Saccharomyces cerevisiae S288C: one gene and its partners. Changing the gene in region 2 together with the main gene of any one other region gives a genetic interaction. Each region holds a gene or a part of one and is shown on either strand. Other genes may lie near its edges.

Region 1 (5,618 bases), on a different chromosome or scaffold from region 2:
GCCTCCTGAGATTCCATCCAAGAATTCAAATCATATGGTTGTTCAGTTCCCAAAAATGTAGGTAGTGGTCTCCAAACGTTAGGGACGATAACATCGTAGTTTTTGCTCATCAAATCTTGAATGACTGAACCAGGGCACAGCTCTACATCAGCATCTCTCCAATAAACCCATGAGTGGTAAGGTTTCAAAGCATTGGCAGTTAACCAATTTCTTGCCCTCCCCATTAGTTTTCGTCTTATACCTTGAACCTTAACGGCATGTCTGTCACTAAAACCTTGTCCAATTACTTGGCCAAAATCCTTTTGGAAAATTTGTACTGATCTAAATGGCTTGTCATAATTTTCATGGAATGGTGGTGAAAATGCCTGGTGGACACGGTTGATATAACCTTCGTCCATATATTTAAGATATAATTTATCGGTGCCTTTTGTTTGCGAATCAATGACAGCGTCAATCTCTTGAAAAATCTGAGACAACGTGCCATTTTGTAAGTGCCTAGAATACGCTATTAAAGCATCCAACGTAGTGTCACCTTCTGAGCAATCACTGACTAAAAAGGCCAGATCAATCAGCTCGTGTGGATAGGTTAGGTTCATTAAATGCTTGAACATTAATGGCAATACATCCGCAGCGTTTCTTAGTGGAATGCATAAAAGAATGTGATCACGTGTTTCCAATCCATTCGGAGCACCTTCAAAATTCGACAGGTCGTACTCCTCAACAGTGGAATCAAAAAGCATGTTGAGTTCCCTTTGGTATTTTTCATCATCCTTGGGAGTCAACACTTCTGAACCAAATTGTGATATTAGATAATGTTGCACACCATCATCAAATTTTGAAATCACTTCAGGATCGATATCCTCAAAATCATAGTCGTAATATTCTTCATCTTCTAGGTCGATAGTCTTGTAATTTTCGGAGGATTTTGAGGAACCCAACAACGACCTACCATTTTGCGTGGATACACCAATGCCCATTCCGGAGAGAAATGATATAAAGAGATATAACGACAGAACGGCGATAATAATAAGAGATGTGATACTCACCGTAAGCTGGAATTTAGACGGTGTGGAGCGCGGCTGGTACCTGTATTTGCCCTTTAATGAGTTGGAGTTATGCTCTGAGCGTTTGTCCTTGATGTTGTTCGAGCTACCGTTCCTTGAAATGGGCAGGCTTAGTCCATTGTCCATGGCTTTCTTCTTTATATTTGACCTTAAATTAAAAAACATGCCCATTTTTTTGTGTTAATTGGTAGGTCAACAAGCTCAAATGACTGTTACTGCACCCTTACGTCTACTTCTTTCACGTTACCATTTACTAATTTACAAGACGTAAACTTTCTTTGATTCTAAATATTTCAAGCCTTGTTTCGGTATAGTCGCCGAAGAACGAAAAAAAAAAAAAAAAAAAATTCCTCTCCGGAGATAAATTGAATACGTATTATTATATTAGGGACAAACACTGGTTCACTGAAAGCAGTTGTTTACATAGTTATATCGTGATCTGTGGCTATATCTGCAGGAGGAGATGTCGGGGCGTTTTCATTAGGCGTCGAATGAGGAGAGTGACTTGTAGTAGCATCGATATTGGTTGTGTTATGTGCTACAGGTGTAGTATTTGTAGTATCTTGCGCTGTCATTGTTGGCGGTTCCGATTCCGCGACCAGGTTCTCCGCAGGCATACTCGACATTTCATTCTCATCTTCACTGCTCCCTAAGATGCCAAATAAGTTTATGTCATCGTCCTCATCCTCGGCGTTTGTGTTGATAACTATGGTAGAGTTGTTTAATGCATTAGGGGTGGTCGTGTCGTCTGCAGCGTCCCTTGCGTGCTCGTTATTTAGTAGAAGCTCAAGATCATGGCCTTCATCTTGTTCCCTCTTTGTTCGTTGTGAAATAAGCTCTTCTTGCCGACGTTTTAGCGATTTTGCTCTTTCTTCCTTGGCCATTCGTATTTTTTCCTTCTTCAACTTCTGGACCTTAGGTAAATTGTGCATGAATAGTGTCATAGACTTACGAAATTGCAATTCTATGGTTTTTTGTATGGTTTTGTGAGACTGGTGAGGACTCTCTGGAAGGTAGAGAGTTTCAGAAATTTTCAAGAATGGATTTTTTGTTCTTTTCAACTGATTCACTTCAAATTTCGTGACACGTTCTCTCGCCAATTCCACTCTATACTTCGCATACTGCTCGATATTGTTTTCATTGAAGGACTTTTCAGTTATGGTTGGTTTCCTTTCTTCCAGCGCGTTGCCCCAAATCTCCAATTGTTGCTCGATAGCGTCCTCATCGTCTAAACCCGGCGGTTGCGGGGTATTTGACGCTGATGATATGTGGGAGAGACTTTTGTTCAAGTTCAATAGTGCCTTTTCAGACTCTTGGCTTTCTTTTACTATTTCTTTCTTGATGGTTTTTAGATCAGTAATTGGATGGTTGAACTCAGGTGTAAACTTATAGGTATGGTCAGGCGGAAAGTTGGGCAGCCAACTCGGTATCTGTTTTTCCAGTGGGTTAGAGGGAGGCAGCAAAACGTTGATCTCGTTCTGTTGCTCCTCGATATTATTCAATTCGTCCTCTTCATCTTCTTCGTTATGCGGTAAAGCAGCAAGAGACGACCAGCTCATCAATTTTTCATATTCCGTGGAATGCTTCGATTTGATGAATTCTGAGGCCTGAAACTGCTGATAAAGGGAGGGCGCATCCAGGTTAAACTCTCGAAGCAACAATTTCAAATCTGCTTGAGAAGCTTGCGACCTTCTTTGTAAAAGTGTTAAATTGTGCAGGTTCCGAAACATGCCGTCCATTTGGACGGTCACGAGGTTGACCAGCTCATCCAATGCAAAGTTTGAAATGCAGATGTTCAACGAATTCAACTGGAAAAGTACTGTTTTCTTTAGAATTTCAACTACGGGAGCATCTATTTCCAAGTGACTAATTTCCGTCAAATCCGGTAGGTTCCTCAGCTGAACTATGGTACTTTGGGTACCGGTACCACTTTCTGACGTTTTGGAAGTCATTGCCCTTTATGAGTCCCTCAATTACACGTTTGTTTGCTTGCTTGCCTCTCTCTCCATTGCTTTTACTCTCTTTTTTAAAGAGTTCAAGATTTTCTACATAAAAGCATCGGGTAACACTCCCATATACACCATTTGTGCTTAAGCTGGCTTCTACCAGTCGCGTTTCAAGCGACTTTATTGATCGCATCAGCGTAGAACAAGAACAGAACTATGTATGCAAACAGGACTAATCATCTTCAGTTATCTTACTTTAGTTTGCAACTATTTATATCATGTTTTCTTTTCAACTTCTTTTTTTTTTTTTCGTTTATGAAGCCGATGCTAATGCATCAATTTTTTTTTTTTGGTGATGAGTTTTGAAAGAAAATGAAAAAAAAAAAATTTCTATTATTGTCAGTGGAGTTTTTGAACAGATCACCTTGTGAATCTACAAACTGTCCTAAAGTATATTGGAGCAGGACATTGGGTGATGGCGAAAACTTTGGCACAAGGAAGGAAACCTGGAAGCGGCAGAAAGCCCGGAAAAGGGAAGACGTTGAGAGAGGGAAGAAAGCCTGGCAGTGGTAGGAGGAGGAGGCAAGATACTGGGGGTAAAGAGACCGACGGGTCTCAGCAAGATCAGGAGTCGCGTCTTATTAGTTCCAGGGACATGGAAGCTGTGGACGCACTGAGAGAGTTGACGCACAGCCCGTCGTCTCACTCAGCTCATAATTCATCAGCAGCACCACCGCCGCATGCAGCAGCGGCGTCAACTTCATTGCCTCCATCTCTGGATTATACCCATCAGTCATTCATGGATCAACAACAACAACAGCAGCAGCAGCAGCAGCAACAACTACTACAGCAACAGAGAGTGGACGTCGTTCCGCCCAAGCCGTTCATCACCCACAAGATCCTGTTATCTTCAACGGGAAACTCTGGCGGCCACGTGAATTCAAATTACAACGCCGACCACAGCATTAATCATAATTCAAACCACAACCTTAACAGCAACGTGAACGTGAACATGAACTTTACTATAAATGGGAGCAATCAAGACCCGTCATCTTCTTTCCTGATGGGGCCCTACAACTACTTACAGCGGCCTTTCATTGTGAAACCATATCTTGATCTGTCCACAAGCACAGCAGCATCAAATCAGCCACGGACGCAACCATCGCCGGCAGCACATATCACTAAGAATTCCGATTCTACAGAGAAAAACGCAACCATATGACATTCATTTCCAGCATACCACTAAAACATTCGTATATGCCACATAATAACTAGTTGAGAAAACCATAGATATTTATATTTATATGTATTTGTACTTCTTTGAGCAATGTATATTTAAGACTGATCTCAACTTCAGCAACTGTTCAAATTCACTGTTTTTCCTAATTAAGCACAACATGAAAAACTAGAATTTTAGAAAGAAAAGGAAAAAGAATACCAGATGGTAGTTAATTTCTCACAAAAGCACTGCCAGGTAAAGGTATACAGCAAGGATGGACTCTCTTGAAGCTAGATTACAATTCATTCAGGTCCTGAAGAACCTGCAAAAGACGCTGCACAAGACCAGAGACTCTATCACATCATCGTCGACCACCACACCACCGTCATCGCAACAAAAGCTGAACAATGACCCTATACAGTTCTACTTGAGAAACTACAGACATCACTACGAGGACTTCCACCAATGTTTGTTCGATACAACCATGAAGATGGACCCACTAGATAGACTGGACGTAGTGATATACTATGTTAGAATAATAAGAAACTTATATCCGCATAGCCATTCCAATACCAATGTTACAAAAGTGTTAAACGAAGTGCTACTCATGGACATAGACTTGGTTTTTGAGCTTTGTCTGCCCTGCCAGGACTGGAAATCCCTCACGAATCAAGCCACCTGTAAAGAGCTATTCCTTGACTTATCCAAACTAATCCATTACGACGCCACCAGCGTCACGCACACACCATCAGACACCACACTCATAGACGCTACTACCTGGTACAGTGTCAAGACAGAGAGGACTACAAAGGACTATAAAGAATCATTGCAACGAACGGAGTCTCTGCTTAAGGACAGAGACTTGAAGAAATTGGCTTTCTTTCAGCAGTTCAATTCCGATACAACTGCGATCAACCCGGACTTACAGACGCAGCCAACCAATGCAAACATTTTGTTGCACAGGATGGAAGCAGACAGGGAACTGCACAAGAGGTCGAAAGAGACAAGTTGGTACATCGAAAGGCCCTCCAACGATATACTGGATGAATCCGAATTTAAAAGCTTGTGGACGCATTTTGAAACTACTGATTCCGGATTTGATAAGGACGATTACAAAAATATCAAGGCTTTAAATGACATTGCGAAGGCATCTTACATATATTAGTACCATGACGTTATATATATATCTGTGAAGAGAATCCGTATCTGTATTATATATACGTATATACGTATCAATGCGCGTACAAAATGAACTTGTCTTTTTCTTATCTCGATTTCAGGAAAAGCAAACTATTCAAGGTGAAACGGCGGCTAATTTTCCTCTAAGTTACTTTTATTGTAGTCCTCAACATGTGCAGACGAATAAACTTAACACGGTTTGCAGAGTGT
Region 2 (5,862 bases):
TTAACCTTATTTATATCAGAGTTAGATGGCTTTTCGTAATGTATGTTAAAAACATCGTTTAGTTTTAGCCAATTCGGAAGCCTTTCTTTTGGCCTACTATTAAGTTTCTTTTTAAGAGCTGTCTTGGGAACTTTTTTTTTAGCTTTTTCAACAGATAATTGCGTGGCTAGCGTTGTTCTTTTAGTGTTAGCAACAATGTTTTGTATAAAAGCCGCCGGTGTATGCACGTACCTCTTACACAGTTGTTCCATTGCCAATGGTTTCCTATTTCGCTAAAATATTAGGGAATATGTGAAGAAAAAATCTTCAGAAATACCTTGTTCAGACCCACATTAAAACGCTTGATTATATGCATATTTACCGGCTGCCGACTTTCATTAAAAAAATTGCGAATACAGAATTTTTTTTTTCACAATAATTACAATTTTTAGCACGATTCAGATGTCTATTTGCTTTCTCTAATTTCATCTACACATCTACGTATATATGGCACCTTATTATCAGTTGTCATCAAAGAGATTACCCACAGCACCGTCTTCAATGTTCGGATCATCCAGCATGTCTCCGTTTTCTTTATTCTTCTTAATTAATCTCTCATTTGCCTTCTTGAGGATAGCTTCCCTTTTCTCTTGTCTTTTTCTCTCATCGCCTGCATGGTCCACATTACCATCTTCTTTCCCACTGGTGGATTTAACCCAATCTATAAAATCAATCATGAGTGCCCTTTGTGTTTTGTATTCGTCCACGCTCCTTAAATTTCTGTATAACTCATCAATATTATAACCATTAGATATCTCAAAAAGGAACGCTCTAGCAGAGGGATATTCTTTGCACAGAGTCAAAAAAATCACAGTGAAAGCATATAGTGCCTCATGGAAAGAATCCTTAAACGCACTATTACACAGCACATTTAGCAACAGATTTTTCATCACTTCAAATGTGAAATATTCATCCACCGTGTTGTTTTGATTAAGGACTGAGGTTAAGCAGCATTTCATTACTAGGATGGAGTTAAATGAACATTTTGTATCCTTGAAGGAAATTAAATGGTTCAAAAGTTTCAAAAATGGAGCAAGGGTGTTTAAATCATTAAATATAATTTTTCTCATCTCCATTTGATGGTTATTTAGCCTGCTTTTAGCACTGTTTGGATTGGCATTGCCTTGACCAACACAATCAATTACTATTCTAACAACAACTGTGGTTAGTTGTCTCAACAAATTCTCTTCCAAAATTTCTTCAGTCATTTGATCATCGTCAGTTGGAACTGGGTTCATGTCCATATCATTCATATGCGAGGACCATTTCTGACATAGCAGCAGGTCCAGGATTTCAAATAATTTAGGCAAAAATGCGGGCATGAATTTCCCCAGACAATCTTTTGGACAACCTTTTAATATAGGACGAATGGCTATATTCATTATGTGTTTCCATCCATGTGTTGAAACTCCAGGGCTTATCTCATTGCTACCTGGCTTAAATATGGCAATAGAGTTCAGTAGTAGGTCGGGCGATTCGTCCAAAAGGTAAAAAACACTACCAAGTGATGATATGGCACTTAAAACAAGTAGAGTGTATTCCCTTGTATACCTAATGATGTGTCCTACGGAGTCGGCGAAGTCTCGTAAGGTTTGCATCGCTTTCATATGTTCATCAATAAACTCATCCTTTGATTTATTTGAAGCTCCGGCCTCCCAAAATCTTTCAATAGTGGAATACTTGACGAAGGATTGCACAACCGTAGGTAATCCTTTCCAATTATCTGGATCGTGGTAGGATTGCAATTGGTACAGTAGTCTCGTGATGTAAGGTAATATTGGGACAATCCTAGGTCTCCACAGATCTTGTAGCATTTTGAATTCTTCATCTGTCTTTATACTTTGCATTGAATAATGAATGAACATTCTTGTTGCACGAACAGGAAACAAGCTTTGCCAACGTTTGGTCAATTCCGACTTCAGCTCTTTACCCTCATCATCAATTGGAATTGATAAAAGGTCACTATTTTCGTCGATATCACGCCTCTGGAAATATTCTGCGATCTGAACAATACCTAAGCGTTCCATAAACCAATGCAAATCAGAAAGACCAACAACTGTTGTTTTATCAGACCAGGCTAAAAGTTCTGGATCCACAATAGCCGCAAATCTTTCCTCTTTCATATCTAATGAAGACTTCAATACAATGATCAATAAGAAGGATTTGAAGGAAATTTTTTCATGGTAAGATAAGTTGGGCATGATTCTGGCAATGACACTTTCAAGGTCTGGGTATATTTTTTTCAGAGATTCGGGCATTAATAAAGCCATCCTATTCAACTCGATACCACAAGCATATCTCAAATCTCTAACTGCGTCTGATTCAGCGCCTCTCTCTTCCAAATTAATTTCTGGATAGTCCATCGTGGCGCTTGTTATGATTTTTTCTAAAAGTGTGAAAAGCACATTATCTTTTAACATTGTCAAAAAAAGTGCAAAATTTTGGATTTGTTTCTTCAATAACAATGGTTCTCTTAAATTTAATGCAATTAACTGGTTTGACAAAATTTCCAGTTTTTGTAATATGGAATCTAGTTTTTCGTCATAATCATCTCCTGTTGGATACCAGATCTTCCATCTTATACAACCATTGATGAAACATTCAACAATCATGTATTGGGAGAGGGCACCTAAATAAGGCTCTAATTTATGGTCCAAAAATGTGGAACTTAAGACCTGCTGACCAAATGGAGAGCTGAAATAATTGTTTAATCTGTTGTTCAACCAATCATAAGTAAGGTCTAATTCGACGCAAGAAATCAACCTAATGATGTCTCTTATTCTTTTCCTATAAGTGGAACAAAATGTTTGAAATTCGGACTTGGATTGAAAATCAATCTCCGCAAATTTTTTGGAAATATGACCATCAATCTGTTCATAATAGACTAAAGCATCCGCGGCAAACTGTAGTAGATCAGGAATGACATATTTCTCCAGCTTGGGTAAGTATTCATCGTTTCGAAGACAGGTACACCATAGGTCTAATGTTAATCCGCTAACGATTAAGCTTGGGTTATAAGTTGTCTTTAATACAAGCTTAAAATATTTTTGAATTTGGCCATTTGTCTCCTTAATCTTTGGGACACAAACATAGAGACAACTGATCATATCCACGAACTTTTTAATTATAGGATATTTCGTTTCATCTATATCATCTGTAGGATCAAACAACAAGCTTTCATAAACGCTATCTAATAAGTCCATATTATCAAAAACTCGATCTATGGTCATTTGGTAATGGCTTTCATTACTATAGGGACGGGTCAACAGAATATGTATCGAGTCTAATGCCATTGACTGCGCCCTTGGGATATTGCTGGATAAACAAGTCAATAAGGAGGATAACACGTCATTTCTTACAATGACCTCTGTTAATGGCCAGTTTAAACACGTCTTCAGAGTTTCTAAAAGCCTTATGATGTATTCAGAATTATTCTGTTGTAATGCATTATTCAACTCTGGAATCCAAACAGAAAACCAGCCCTCTTCATTAGCTTTAAATTTGGTCCATTTATCACTGAATTTGTATTTTATTGCGAAAACTTCAATAGGGCAAACAATCATTACACATAAGGGTTGAATAACCGTCATCCTTTTCAAAACAATTAGGTCGTCCAACAAGAAAACATCTTCAAAAAGGATTCTGAAAATTATTAATGCTAGTTCTCTTGACGATTGATTTATGTTCCAAAGTTCGAAAAGGTTATTGTCCATGTCCACCCAAGATGTGAGTAACTGTTCTTCCGTAGGGTTTGTCTGCTTAAGAGCCTCACCCCATGTTCTTTTTGCCACCTCTACCCATAAAGTGGCTAATTTTTCCTTAATATATCTGGTATCATAATCTTGCACCCCAAAATTAAGTTCCATGACCCATTTTCTCAGGGCCACTCTTTTCCCCTCGTCATAATCATTCCAGTTTTTCTTCACTGCATGGTCTAGTAATCCTAGTCCAAAGTATTTCAATATAGAATTAGTGGGGTTTTGCAATGCAATTTCGTAGCCCCAAAAGGGCGATTCTGAGCATAATTTCACTTCATCTAAAAATTTCTGAGCTTCTTGCCGTTGAGAATTGTTAGACTTGGGGGAGTAAATAACATCTAGTGCGCTAACAATCTGAGAAGCGCCTGTGGAATCCATTACTTTTCTTCCAATCAACGTTAGAAAAAAAATTTCAGATTCTAAAAATTCAAAAAGTGATTAAAAGGAAGAAAACAAAATATACTATAAATAATTTCAATAGTTTATCACAGTAACAATTGCTACACGAATGTAAAGAGTGAATATGGTTTTTAATGGCTAATGCAATGACACCTTACGTTCTCGCCTTGTTTATTTTTCTGTTTTGCTCTTCTTCCGATCTACAAAACTTGAACGGTTGCAACAAATAGGGGGATCTAATCAGGGTGTACTTAAAAGAACGGCTCTTCTACAGGCTCAACGAATAAAGATAGGCTAAAAACACACACGCTCGTCACTCCAGCACCTCTGTTCAATGGAATCTTGCTCTTAAAACTCTTTGACAAATATTACTACATCAAAAGCTTAGTACTCTTGAAGTCTCTTTGGAAAAACCAACCTTGATCGCGCAGCAATGTGGCAATGCCCCTCCGCTGTGGCGCGCCGCCATCACCCGGTAAATAGAAATTGGTGACCAAGGAACAATGCCATGGTGAGTACATTACCATAAAAACCAAGAGGCGATAGTGTTGTCGGAAATAATAATACAATTTGTTGATTCATTATGGCTATATATCATTAAAATATTCACAATAGGTATATAGTCCGATTTGGACAACTAAGGCAGCGGTGAAGAGTAGAACCTGGTCCTTCAATAATAATAACCGTTGGCAATAAACCTGATCATGTACTCGTCAACATGGGCAGTGCCCTCATACTCATCAAGTTCAGCATGATTTTCTTCCTCTTCATTAGCTGCTTTTTTTTCTGTGCTTTCGTCGAAATCGTCATTGTCAATTTCGACTTCTCTCATGGCTAAGTTTGCAGCTTTAACATCATCCTCATCTTCCGCTTGCGCAAGAAGTCTTTCCAGTTGTCTGGGATCTTTGGCTGCCACATCTGCATCTGCTATTAGTGGTTTATCTCCACCTGAAGCATTTTCGGGCAATTCGGATCCCAATAAATCTCTCACCGAAAGTTTGCTGAAATAATCTGTTGTGAAGTCACCCTCTTGAATAACAACATTATCCAATTGTCTTTTTTGGTTGGCTTTTTTTAAGATATTGCTTTCTATGGTATGTTCGCTGACAAATCTGTAAATATGCACATCTCGAGTCTGTCCAATTCTGTGACATCTATCTTGACACTGTTTGTCCATGGCTGGATTCCAATCTGAATCGTAAAAAATAACTGTATCTGCCCCAGTCAGATTGATACCTAGCCCTCCTGATCTACTTGATAGGATAAATACCGTTATTCTTGAGTCAGTGTTGAATCTCTCTGTTAGGATTTGACGGTCTTCGATCTTTGTGGCACCATCTAGTCTCATATACAAATAACCATGATAGTTTAAAAACTGTTCCAGAACGTCCAAAACTTTTGTCATTTGTGTGAAGATAAGTGCCCTATGTCCATTGTCCTTCAGCTGCTGTAATAAAATTGCTAACTTCTGCAATTTACCACAATCGTATTGAAGCAGCGATTTGTCCGGGAATGCGATTGTTAATTTGGTTTGCAGTTGGTGTAATGGGTTGGATACTTCAAAACAGTTCTGCATTACCTTTAGCCTTGTGTTTTCGCCTACCGAACTGTCATCATTTAATCCCAATGCCAACTTTCTCATATCTAGTGAGACGGCACTTGGGGT
Region 3 (4,442 bases), on a different chromosome or scaffold from region 2:
TGGTATCCCAAAAATACACAGGCCTGTTGTTTGGAAATTATTAATAGGTTATTTGCCTGTGAACACCAAGAGACAGGAGGGTTTCTTACAAAGGAAGAGGAAAGAATATAGGGATAGTCTGAAACATACCTTTTCTGACCAGCACTCAAGAGATATCCCAACTTGGCATCAGATAGAGATAGATATACCGAGAACAAATCCCCACATTCCCCTCTACCAGTTCAAATCCGTACAGAACAGTTTACAACGAATACTATATCTTTGGGCAATCAGGCATCCTGCTAGCGGATATGTGCAAGGTATTAATGATTTAGTTACACCATTTTTCGAGACTTTTCTTACCGAATATCTGCCGCCTTCACAAATAGATGATGTAGAGATAAAGGACCCCTCTACTTATATGGTAGATGAACAGATTACAGATTTAGAAGCGGACACGTTTTGGTGTCTTACCAAATTGCTCGAACAAATTACCGATAACTATATTCACGGACAACCAGGCATATTAAGACAAGTGAAGAATTTGAGTCAGCTAGTGAAACGAATTGATGCTGATCTATATAACCATTTTCAAAATGAACATGTGGAGTTTATACAGTTTGCATTCAGATGGATGAATTGCCTTTTGATGAGAGAATTTCAAATGGGTACAGTAATAAGGATGTGGGACACATATTTATCTGAAACTTCACAAGAGGTCACTTCTTCTTATTCTATGTCGTCCAATGACATTAAACCTCCTGTTACTCCAACAGAACCTCGAGTGGCAAGTTTTGTTACACCAACAAAAGATTTCCAATCTCCCACCACAGCTCTTTCTAATATGACACCAAACAATGCTGTTGAAGACAGTGGAAAAATGAGACAGTCTTCGTTGAATGAGTTTCATGTGTTTGTTTGTGCTGCATTCCTCATCAAGTGGAGTGACCAGCTAATGGAAATGGATTTCCAAGAAACTATAACTTTCTTACAGAACCCTCCTACAAAGGACTGGACTGAAACGGATATTGAAATGCTTCTGAGCGAAGCCTTTATTTGGCAATCTCTTTACAAAGATGCTACGTCGCACTGGCTGTAAACGGACCTATTCATTTTACTTACTGTATAGTATGTAATAATATAAAACAAAAATCTCCTAATTCATAAATCCTGAGGAACGTGACACATAAAGTTATTGTATACAGATCATCTAAAGATTGGTTTGGTAGAATGTCTCCCAAAGCTCGATGCATTCTTTTTGAGATTCAATGGCCGCTTCTAGTGATATTTCCATGCCGTTTCGGAATTCCCGAATTTTATCAGTAGAGAAACCTTGGAATTCATCTTTTATTTTATCTCCTACCGCTTGCCATTGTTTTTTTGTAAGGTTATACCTTCTCTCCAATGTTTGAAATTCCTTTCTCATTTCTCTGAATTTTTCTGAATGAATATTTTGACCCAATTTGCCCAATTGTGAGTGTTTCTTATTCATGTCATTTTCTATTACTACCAAGAAATACCCCAATTTGGATCTCTGATTGAAAATTGCTTTTACGCTTGCCAATGACCTAATATAGTCGTCCAGCATCACACCCATCGTCAAAGTCTCTTGCAAAGAGCTTCTCTCAAGAGAGCTTTTTATGCTTTTATGAACATCAGCAAAATTATTCAGCAGTTCCGAATTAGGTTCACTCACGTTCAAAGACGCTAGGGTTTCTACCATACTAGAGAATTCTTCTGTTGATGCAGCCAGGGTGTTTCTTGAGGTGTCGACCATTTCCAAAGATTTGCTCAATTTTTTTAAATTATCTTCCAGTTCATCAATCTTTTGTTTCTTTTCGATAAAGAATTCATCTGCCTCGTTGTACTTGGGCAGTGATGAAAACGATATACTCATAAATCCCTTGTGCGATTCCGCGTCGATACCCCCATTTTTTAAGACCTCGGCAGCATCCTCTGCACCTAGTAGTTGTATCTCACTTATCCGGACTTCTGACAGATCGTTGCTATCATTAATAGCGCCAGATCCAGTCAAAAATGCCCTTTTTTTAGACTCTGAACTAAAGTCATCACTTGTCAAAAAGAGTAGAAAATCTTTGTCCTTTTGTAGAACCGGATCTTGACATATTTTTTTTAACATGCTTTCCATTTGAAATCTTCTATTTTCAATGAAATTTTCCTTAAAACTGCCTACTGATTGCTTCTCTGGTGGTGGTGGTATTACTTTACCCCAATGGTTGTTCTGCAATTGACGATATAGCCACCTGAAATCTCTGTAACGCCTGCTTACCTGTGCATATTTTAGCTCAAGTAATGATGATTCACTGATTACAGTATACTCCACATGAATGGATGTTAGCTCTCCTACTTTGACCGGGTCTTTAACTTCAACTTTGAAAGCCACAGCCTTTTCGGTTGGTGGCACCTTTGAGCCAATCTTGGTTTTTCCAAACTTTTCTGAGTTTTCCTCGACCTCAGCAGGACTTGAAATATTAGCACCTGTCTGAGGAAGATTGTATAAAGGCCTGTCCACTTGCTCAAGGATATTTTTTTCAACAGAAGCTGTGAACTTGCCCTCATTGTTTTCTCTCCTTTCATTCCTATCGTCCAATGGCTCTTCAACAAATTCATTCTCTTTTTCAGCTTTCTTTAAGGGATCAGTAAAGGGTGTTTTGATGGTATCATCGGAAGCAGTTGTTCTCTTCGCTTTCAGAGAATGGTTGCGTTTGGAGTTTCTTTGAGCTCTGGCGGAATCAAACAGAATTCGTGGTTTGCCGGATCTTCTTCCAGAGATGCTTTTTGAAGTATTTGGTGAAGTGTTAGCATCGTATATCGTATCGTCAAAAACTAAGGGAGAGTTGGCGTTTCCAGTGAACAATGCGCCACCGGATTCTCTTGTTGCAATAAATTGTGTAGTGCTATTCTTGAGATCAGCAATCGGATCCTGTTCAGGGGCTAAAGAATTAATAAGATCGTCAGCTTTGGAATTGTCATGCTCCTCTAGTTGCGGATTACCAGCCACCGACAAACCAGGGTCTTTCCATTCTGGCGCACTATCCAAGTCTATCTTGTCCGCAAATGAAGCTGTGGTCTCTAAAAGCTCATTGTCTTTTCTTTCTTCATTTGTAGATATTTGACCAATTGATTCAATTGAATTTGAAACGAGGCTCTGAGTTTTATCTCCCTCATGATTTAGTTCGTCCCAAACAGGTGCTTCTAGATTATCCTCGTAGTCCATGGCTTGTTATTGCAGGATGTATGAAAGTTTATAAAATCCCTGCTGCAAATTAAGAGATATATGGTTTCGTTCACTACGTAGTTATAGTAAATAACCTTTGCTTAACCCATTTTTCAAAGCATTTTTAAAATTTACTGTTATCACTTAGTTGTTCTTAGCGGACAACTTCCGAAAAGTGAAATTTCATTTTTCAAAACGACAATAGTGGTATAGAATTATAGAATAACATACGTTAAAAATAGCTGAAGTTCATTACAGTTCTGTAGTGGTCAGCAAGGCATTTGACGTCTATTGGATAGCCTACGATGAAAGGTGATCGTTCGAGGCAAAATATGGCTGTGACAAAGAAGGCAAAGTTAAAAAAAAATGACGAGCCAAAAAAGGTTTTGAAGACTGCCGCGACCGAAAAAGGTGAGGGATCCAAGCGCTACTCCTTATGGAATTTCTGGATAAGCACATTGTTTTTAAAATTACTATTGATTCCTGACTACTTCAGTACAGATTTTGACGTTCATAGAAATTGGCTGGCAATCACCAATAAATTGCCCATCAGCGAATGGTATTATGAGCACACTAGTCAATGGACATTGGATTATCCGCCATTTTTTGCTTATTTTGAATGGTTTTTATCGCAATTTGTTCCTAAATCTGTACGTGATGACGGTTGTTTGGATATAGTGGAGATCGGAAAGTTCGGTTTGCCAACAATCGTTTTCCAACGACTCACTGTCATCTTCAGCGAAATTCTTCTATTTGTCATCCTTCAAATATACATTAATACTACAAAGCTAAGTGAAAGATCTCAAAGTTTTGTGGTTGCTTCTAGCATTGTACTATCACCCGGGTTTTTAATAATAGATCACATTCACTTCCAATATAATGGTTTTCTTTTTGCGATTCTAATAGGCTCCATTGTCGCCGCCAAGAATAAGAGATACATCTTGTGCGCTGTTCTGTATACTACAGCCATATGTTTCAAGCATATATTTTTATATTTGGCGCCATGTTATTTCGTGTTTTTATTGAGAGCATACGTTCTCAATGTCAACAATTTCAAGTTTAAAAGTTACAAAGATTTTTTGTTCCTGATAAGATGGGCAAATCTTTTGAAGTTGGCTACCGTTGTTGTTGGAATTTTCACTATTTGTTTCCTTCCATTTGCTCATCAAATGCCGCAAGTGTTGAGCAGGTTATTCCCATTCTCAAGAGGACTGACGCATGCATA
Region 4 (4,962 bases), on a different chromosome or scaffold from region 2:
AATACCAGGATGTCGGAATTGATATCGCTTCTCCGTGCAATTATGGCGGGAGGGAAGAGTTGGAGCTATTTAAAGAAGTTTTTAGTGAAAGAGAATTTAACGGTTTACTGAAAGCGTCTGATCCATGCACAATATTTACTTACTTATGGTCCTTGAAGGAGTCGTATACAAAATTTACTGGAACTGGCCTTAACACAGACTTGTCACTAATAGATTTTGGCGCTATCAGCTTTTTTCCGGCTGAGGGAGCTTCTATGTGCATAACTCTGGATGAAGTTCCATTGATTTTCCATTCTCAATGGTTCAATAACGAAATTGTCACTATCTGTATGCCAAAGTCCATCAGTGATAAAATCAACACGAACAGACCAAAATTATATAATATCAGCTTATCTACGTTGATTGATTATTTCATCGAAAATGATGGTTTATAATGCCAATTTTTTTTTTTCGCTTGCTCACATTTATGTAATCGATAGACTCTTATTACTGTTTGAACTTCAAAAACAGCACCTTTTACTAAAATCATTAAATATTTCTTGAGGTATGCATAATTCTCCATTAAATTTCCCCTCAATTAATGCTAACGCAGCGCTCCCTAGACAGCTGTGATATAAATCAGCATCTTCTTCGTCATTTTTACTAAAGCCTCCAGTTAATGTTTTTTGCGTTCGATCAAGCAAATAATTTGTGACTAGTTCAGTTTGGCATAGCATTTTCCAATCCTTTGTTAGTAAGTGTAGTGAATTTAAGCACCAAAATGCGTAACACGTATCAGCGAACTTGTTCTCCCTTCCCTGGAAACCGCCATCATCAGATTGATCATAGCTGGCATTCAATTCGCTTTCAAATTTCATACATCCATGGCTTGATACTTGCCTATGTAATAGCCAGGTTATGGTGTCTTCTTTAAACTTGTCTGATAGCTTTTCCAAACTAGAGAGTAAAGCTAAGGTAGACAGCGCACAAGATGTGTACCCTGAGTGTGGTTCATTGTGGGCACCGAAAGCTCCGTTGTAGCATTGTTGCGACATTATATAGCCAAGCAACTTCTCAGTATCAATGTATTCATCAAAGTCTTCTTTGGATCGGCATCCGCATATGTACAGAATGGCAACTGCGATGTAGCAAAACCTTAAATCGTCTGAATCAACCGAAGATCCACAATTTGTCTTATAGTCTAAACAAGATACAAACGAGCCACGGTCAGGTCGTTGGCACTTAGAAACAAATCTCGCCAGGCTTCTTTTGTCTAGTATAGTCTCAAAATACTCGTAATCTCTCAGCATAATCATGGACAACAATGCAAAGAGAGTATTTGGTAGATTAATCGTTGTTGCGTGAGGGATATTCATGACTAAGCTTCCAACAAATCCAGATATCACAGTATTTTCTGTATCATCCAGCACTGTTTTGATATAATGTTTGCGCATCCAGCCAAGATGATCGCCGTACTTCGCAGAAACGTTAACATCAAATATAGAGAGTCCTGAGATTGAGTAGAATATTATCGCCATTCTGTTCACGTCATGTCCCTGATGTGAAGAGGGAAGCAACTGTAGATGTCTTTCGAAAAATTTCCTATGCTTTTTAGTCACAACTCTACTCGGGCCATTGGTAGCTTGACACATTTTTCCACGATATAGCGGTGGGCAGAAGTGCTTGAAAGTACTTGTTCACGTTGGATAAATAAAGGTTTTCTTAAAATTGAAATTTAAATTGCTAGAGATGACTTGGGGGTTAGTGACCAAGTAATAGTTTTGAACTGGCGGGTGTTTTGATTGTATACTATAGTCACTGAAACTATTGCTTTTCCATTCTTCCAAGGCGCAACAACTCAGAAAAAAAAAAACAAGTGAATAAAACAGGTAAAAAAGAAGATCATTTAAAGGTTTTACAAGTGTGATATAAATTTTATTTTTTTGCTTTTTTATTTAGCATTATTTACTTATATGTATTTTGTTAAGACTATTTTTGGTTATCATGATAGAAATGGCATAAGTTTGGGAGTGAGTGAATGTAAAAAACAGTGAGGGAGACAAACTCAGAAATACAACCTGAATGAGGCAATCTCAAAAGGTCTCAATTTAATGGGAATTCTGTTTATTGCATGATTTGATTCGTCTCGCGTTGCTGTCAAACTCTTATAAACTTTCATCTCCAAGTTATCGACCTTCTCAATACGCTTCAAATTTAGTGTGGTATTTAGTGAAGCAAAAGATTCCCCGCCAAGAGATTCGTAAACCCTTACCACAATACTTTGTTCATCCCTTGGATTTAATGAATAGTTGGACTTGACAGCACTATCATCTTCGCCTCTTTTTATGTTAGACAAAATGACATTCTCATCTCCGGAAATGCTTATGATGTCATCAAAATTCATGCCAATATCTTTGGGGAGTTTGTATTTGAAGCAATAATTGAATTCGTGAGCGAGCTTAACAGTGTCGCTTGATAGTGCTCCTCTATGTGGATAGATAGCATATTTTATCTCATGAGTACCCATATCAGCATGCGCATCCGGAGCCTTTGGTGACCTTAATAATGATAATCTCATCAAGTTACCGTGTGTGGAAAACCCATATTTGCAATCGTTCAAAATTGAAACACCCTTGCTGTATTCAGAATAATCAGCAAATTTGTGATGGCAAACCTCAAATTTAGCGACGTCCCATGAGGTATTATAATGTGTTGGTCTTTTGGTAATCCCGAATTGAGTTTCATACGAAGCAAAATCGTTCCGAATATTAACGGGAAATTCAACTTTTAAAAATTTGTTTCTAGCATCCCAGTTTTCTACCGTCGTAGAAATGTCTACTTTACTTAATTTAGCATCAGTGACCGCAGTTGCATTGAGTGATATCACTGATTTGATTTTGCATTTTTCGGAAATTTGAAAAATGACCTCAACAGCACATTTCTCTTTTGTGTTGCAGGAAACTTGAACTTTCTTCGGCTTTGTTACATACTTGTATTGGTTGACGGAATAAAGTTCAGTATCCCAAGCCTGCCAGCCCAAAGGTTTATCATCATAAATAACAAACTGGTTGGCGCCCAATTTGTTTCTGCCATGTTCCGTGTCCAGGTATTCTACCCCCAAAGTTTCATCCGTAATGCTTGTGATCACCCCAGTCTTTTTGCAAATGATAACTTTCAACTTCCCATTGGCAAGGACTATATAGTCATCGTACCCGGTTACAGAGGACGTGTAACTACCGTTCAACGAGCACTCCTCAGAAACCTTTTCTGGTTTTGACCAAGTTAATGTTCTCATCTCAACCAAATCTGCCTTACTCTGACTCTGAAGAAATTGAACGGTTTTGTCTATTAAGGAAGTACATTCTTTCACAACGTTGTGCAACATAGGGACAGCCTCATACTTATATACCATTTCAATACATGATCCTGGTAGAACATCGTGAAATTGACATAACAAAACATTCTCCCAAAGTTCGTTAATCTGTTTGGAAGGGTATTTATACGAATCGGGATATAAAACTGATGTTTTGGCAGCTATCCATTCCAAATCATGTAGTTTAATTTCGGACAACCTCATTAATTTTTTGGTCTGAGCTTGACTGGTGTATGTCCCCCTATGAAATTCGAAATACAATTCACCACTCCATGTGGGTAAATCATGGCCTTGGTTAGTCCTTTTCAAAATGTCATCATAAAATTCATCAACCGTTATACCAACTTGTAACTTTGGAATAACATTACCATTTCTGTTATTCATGGATCTAATACGCCTCATTTTTTGCAGCATTTCCTCAGTTGGTCCTCCACCACCATCACCCTTTCCGTACAACATTAAACCGGAGCCGTAATATTCTGGTGTCTTATTCTGCTTGGCAGTACGCAAAACATCACCGAAGTGTGAATCTGCTGTATACGTATTACCAGGAGGCATGTGAGTCAATAATTGAGAACCGTCAATCCCTGCCCAGTTAAACGTGCTATGCGGAAAACTGTTGATGTTATTCCAGGAAAGCTTTTGAGTCAAAAATTTATCAATACCAGATAAGCGGCAAAGTTGTGGCATTTGCGAAGAATAACCAAAGGTGTCAGGTAACCAAAATATCTTTGACTTGAGACCAAAATGCTTCAAGAAAAACCTTTGACCAAAAAAGAATTGCCTTGCCAGCGATTCCCCTGAGGGAATATTGGTATCATTCTCAACCCATGTACCACCAACAGCAAAAAACTGAGATTGCTGAATTTTTGGAATTAACACTTTATTGAAAAATTCGGGATGATCTTCTAATAACCATTTAAATTGTTGGGCTTGTGAAGCAACAAATTTATACTCTGGGAAGCGATCCATTAAAGTACATTGGGAAGACCAAGATCTCACAATTTTCCTTCTTGTTTCTGCGAATGGCCATAGCCAAGCTGTATCTATATGACAGTTGCCGATACCATAAACATTTGTTAAAACTTGAGATTCACCTTGTTCGTAAACCTTACTGCTTTCTAAAAAGGAGTCAAAGTATTCCCTTTGTAGTAATTCACGACATTTACGAACACTTGAACGATCATTCGGGTCAAAAAGATTCATAACTGCATTGCCTAGTTGTCTTGCCTGGTGTTTTTGCCAGGAGTCTCCAGGTAGCTCTCTTGCAGCATCCCCTAGCATCCAAAAATCGATATACAATGCACGAGCATCTAGATCGGGCCAAACGATATCAGCTTTTCTCAAATGAAAAAATCTATTATCATCTGGTGGATTTATAGTGGATCCTGCACCGCAGCCAAACATACCATTATTACCAGCTTCGATGTAAAAGAAATGTTTCCCATCCGATGTTTTCGGTAAAACATATTCAGTCCTTTCACCACCTGAAAAAGCAGTCACAGGGATTAGAGTCTTTGGGTCTATGACAATTCCTTCGTTAGAACAATCCCATTGGAAAAGTAGTTGCTCGTTTGATTTAACCCAATCTTCAGGCAAAGAGATTTTCA

Evidence for each region.
Region 1: mutations in MSN5 (region 2) and TAF8 together harm fitness more than expected from each alone (negative genetic interaction), as found in Saccharomyces cerevisiae (2 studies listed by BioGRID).
Region 3: mutations in MSN5 (region 2) and VAM10 together harm fitness more than expected from each alone (negative genetic interaction), as found in Saccharomyces cerevisiae (2 studies listed by BioGRID).
Region 4: mutations in MSN5 (region 2) and CDC43 together harm fitness more than expected from each alone (negative genetic interaction), as found in Saccharomyces cerevisiae (3 studies listed by BioGRID).

What each region holds. Positions count from the first base shown.
Region 1 is NC_001145.3:40,560-46,177, forward strand, and holds TAF8 (Taf8p), read right to left. Parts: upstream 3,017-5,618; coding exon 1,484-3,016; downstream 1-1,483. Other genes in the region: VAN1 (Van1p), read right to left, coding at 1-1,235; DAT1 (Dat1p), read left to right, coding at 3,486-4,232; CTK3 (Ctk3p), read left to right, coding at 4,504-5,394. UniProt on the Saccharomyces cerevisiae protein: Functions as a component of the DNA-binding general transcription factor complex TFIID. Binding of TFIID to a promoter (with or without TATA element) is the initial step in pre-initiation complex (PIC) formation.
Region 2 is NC_001136.10:1,139,481-1,145,342, reverse strand, and holds MSN5 (karyopherin MSN5), read right to left. Parts: upstream 4,176-5,862; coding exon 501-4,175; downstream 1-500. Other genes in the region: translation initiation/elongation factor MRX8, read right to left, coding at 1-251; chromatin-remodeling protein SWR1, read right to left, coding at 4,867-5,862.
Region 3 is NC_001147.6:452,543-456,984, reverse strand, and holds VAM10 (Vam10p), read left to right. Parts: upstream 1-2,771; coding exon 2,772-3,116; downstream 3,117-4,442. Other genes in the region: GTPase-activating protein GYP1, read left to right, coding at 1-1,078; VPS5 (sorting nexin 1), read right to left, coding at 1,190-3,217; ALG8 (dolichyl-P-Glc:Glc1Man(9)GlcNAc(2)-PP-dolichol alpha-1,3-glucosyltransferase), read left to right, coding at 3,523-4,442. UniProt on the Saccharomyces cerevisiae protein: Required for vacuolar fusion. Involved in the early steps of the fusion pathway.
Region 4 is NC_001139.9:210,750-215,711, reverse strand, and holds CDC43 (protein geranylgeranyltransferase type I subunit CDC43), read right to left. Parts: upstream 1,632-4,962; coding exon 501-1,631; downstream 1-500. Other genes in the region: LYS5 (holo-[acyl-carrier-protein] synthase), read left to right, coding at 1-434; AMS1 (alpha-mannosidase), read right to left, coding at 2,045-4,962. UniProt on the Saccharomyces cerevisiae protein: Catalyzes the transfer of a geranyl-geranyl moiety from geranyl-geranyl diphosphate to proteins having the C-terminal sequence Cys-Ile-Ile-Leu or Cys-Val-Leu-Leu. Acts, among other substrates, on Rho1 and Rho2 and CDC42 proteins.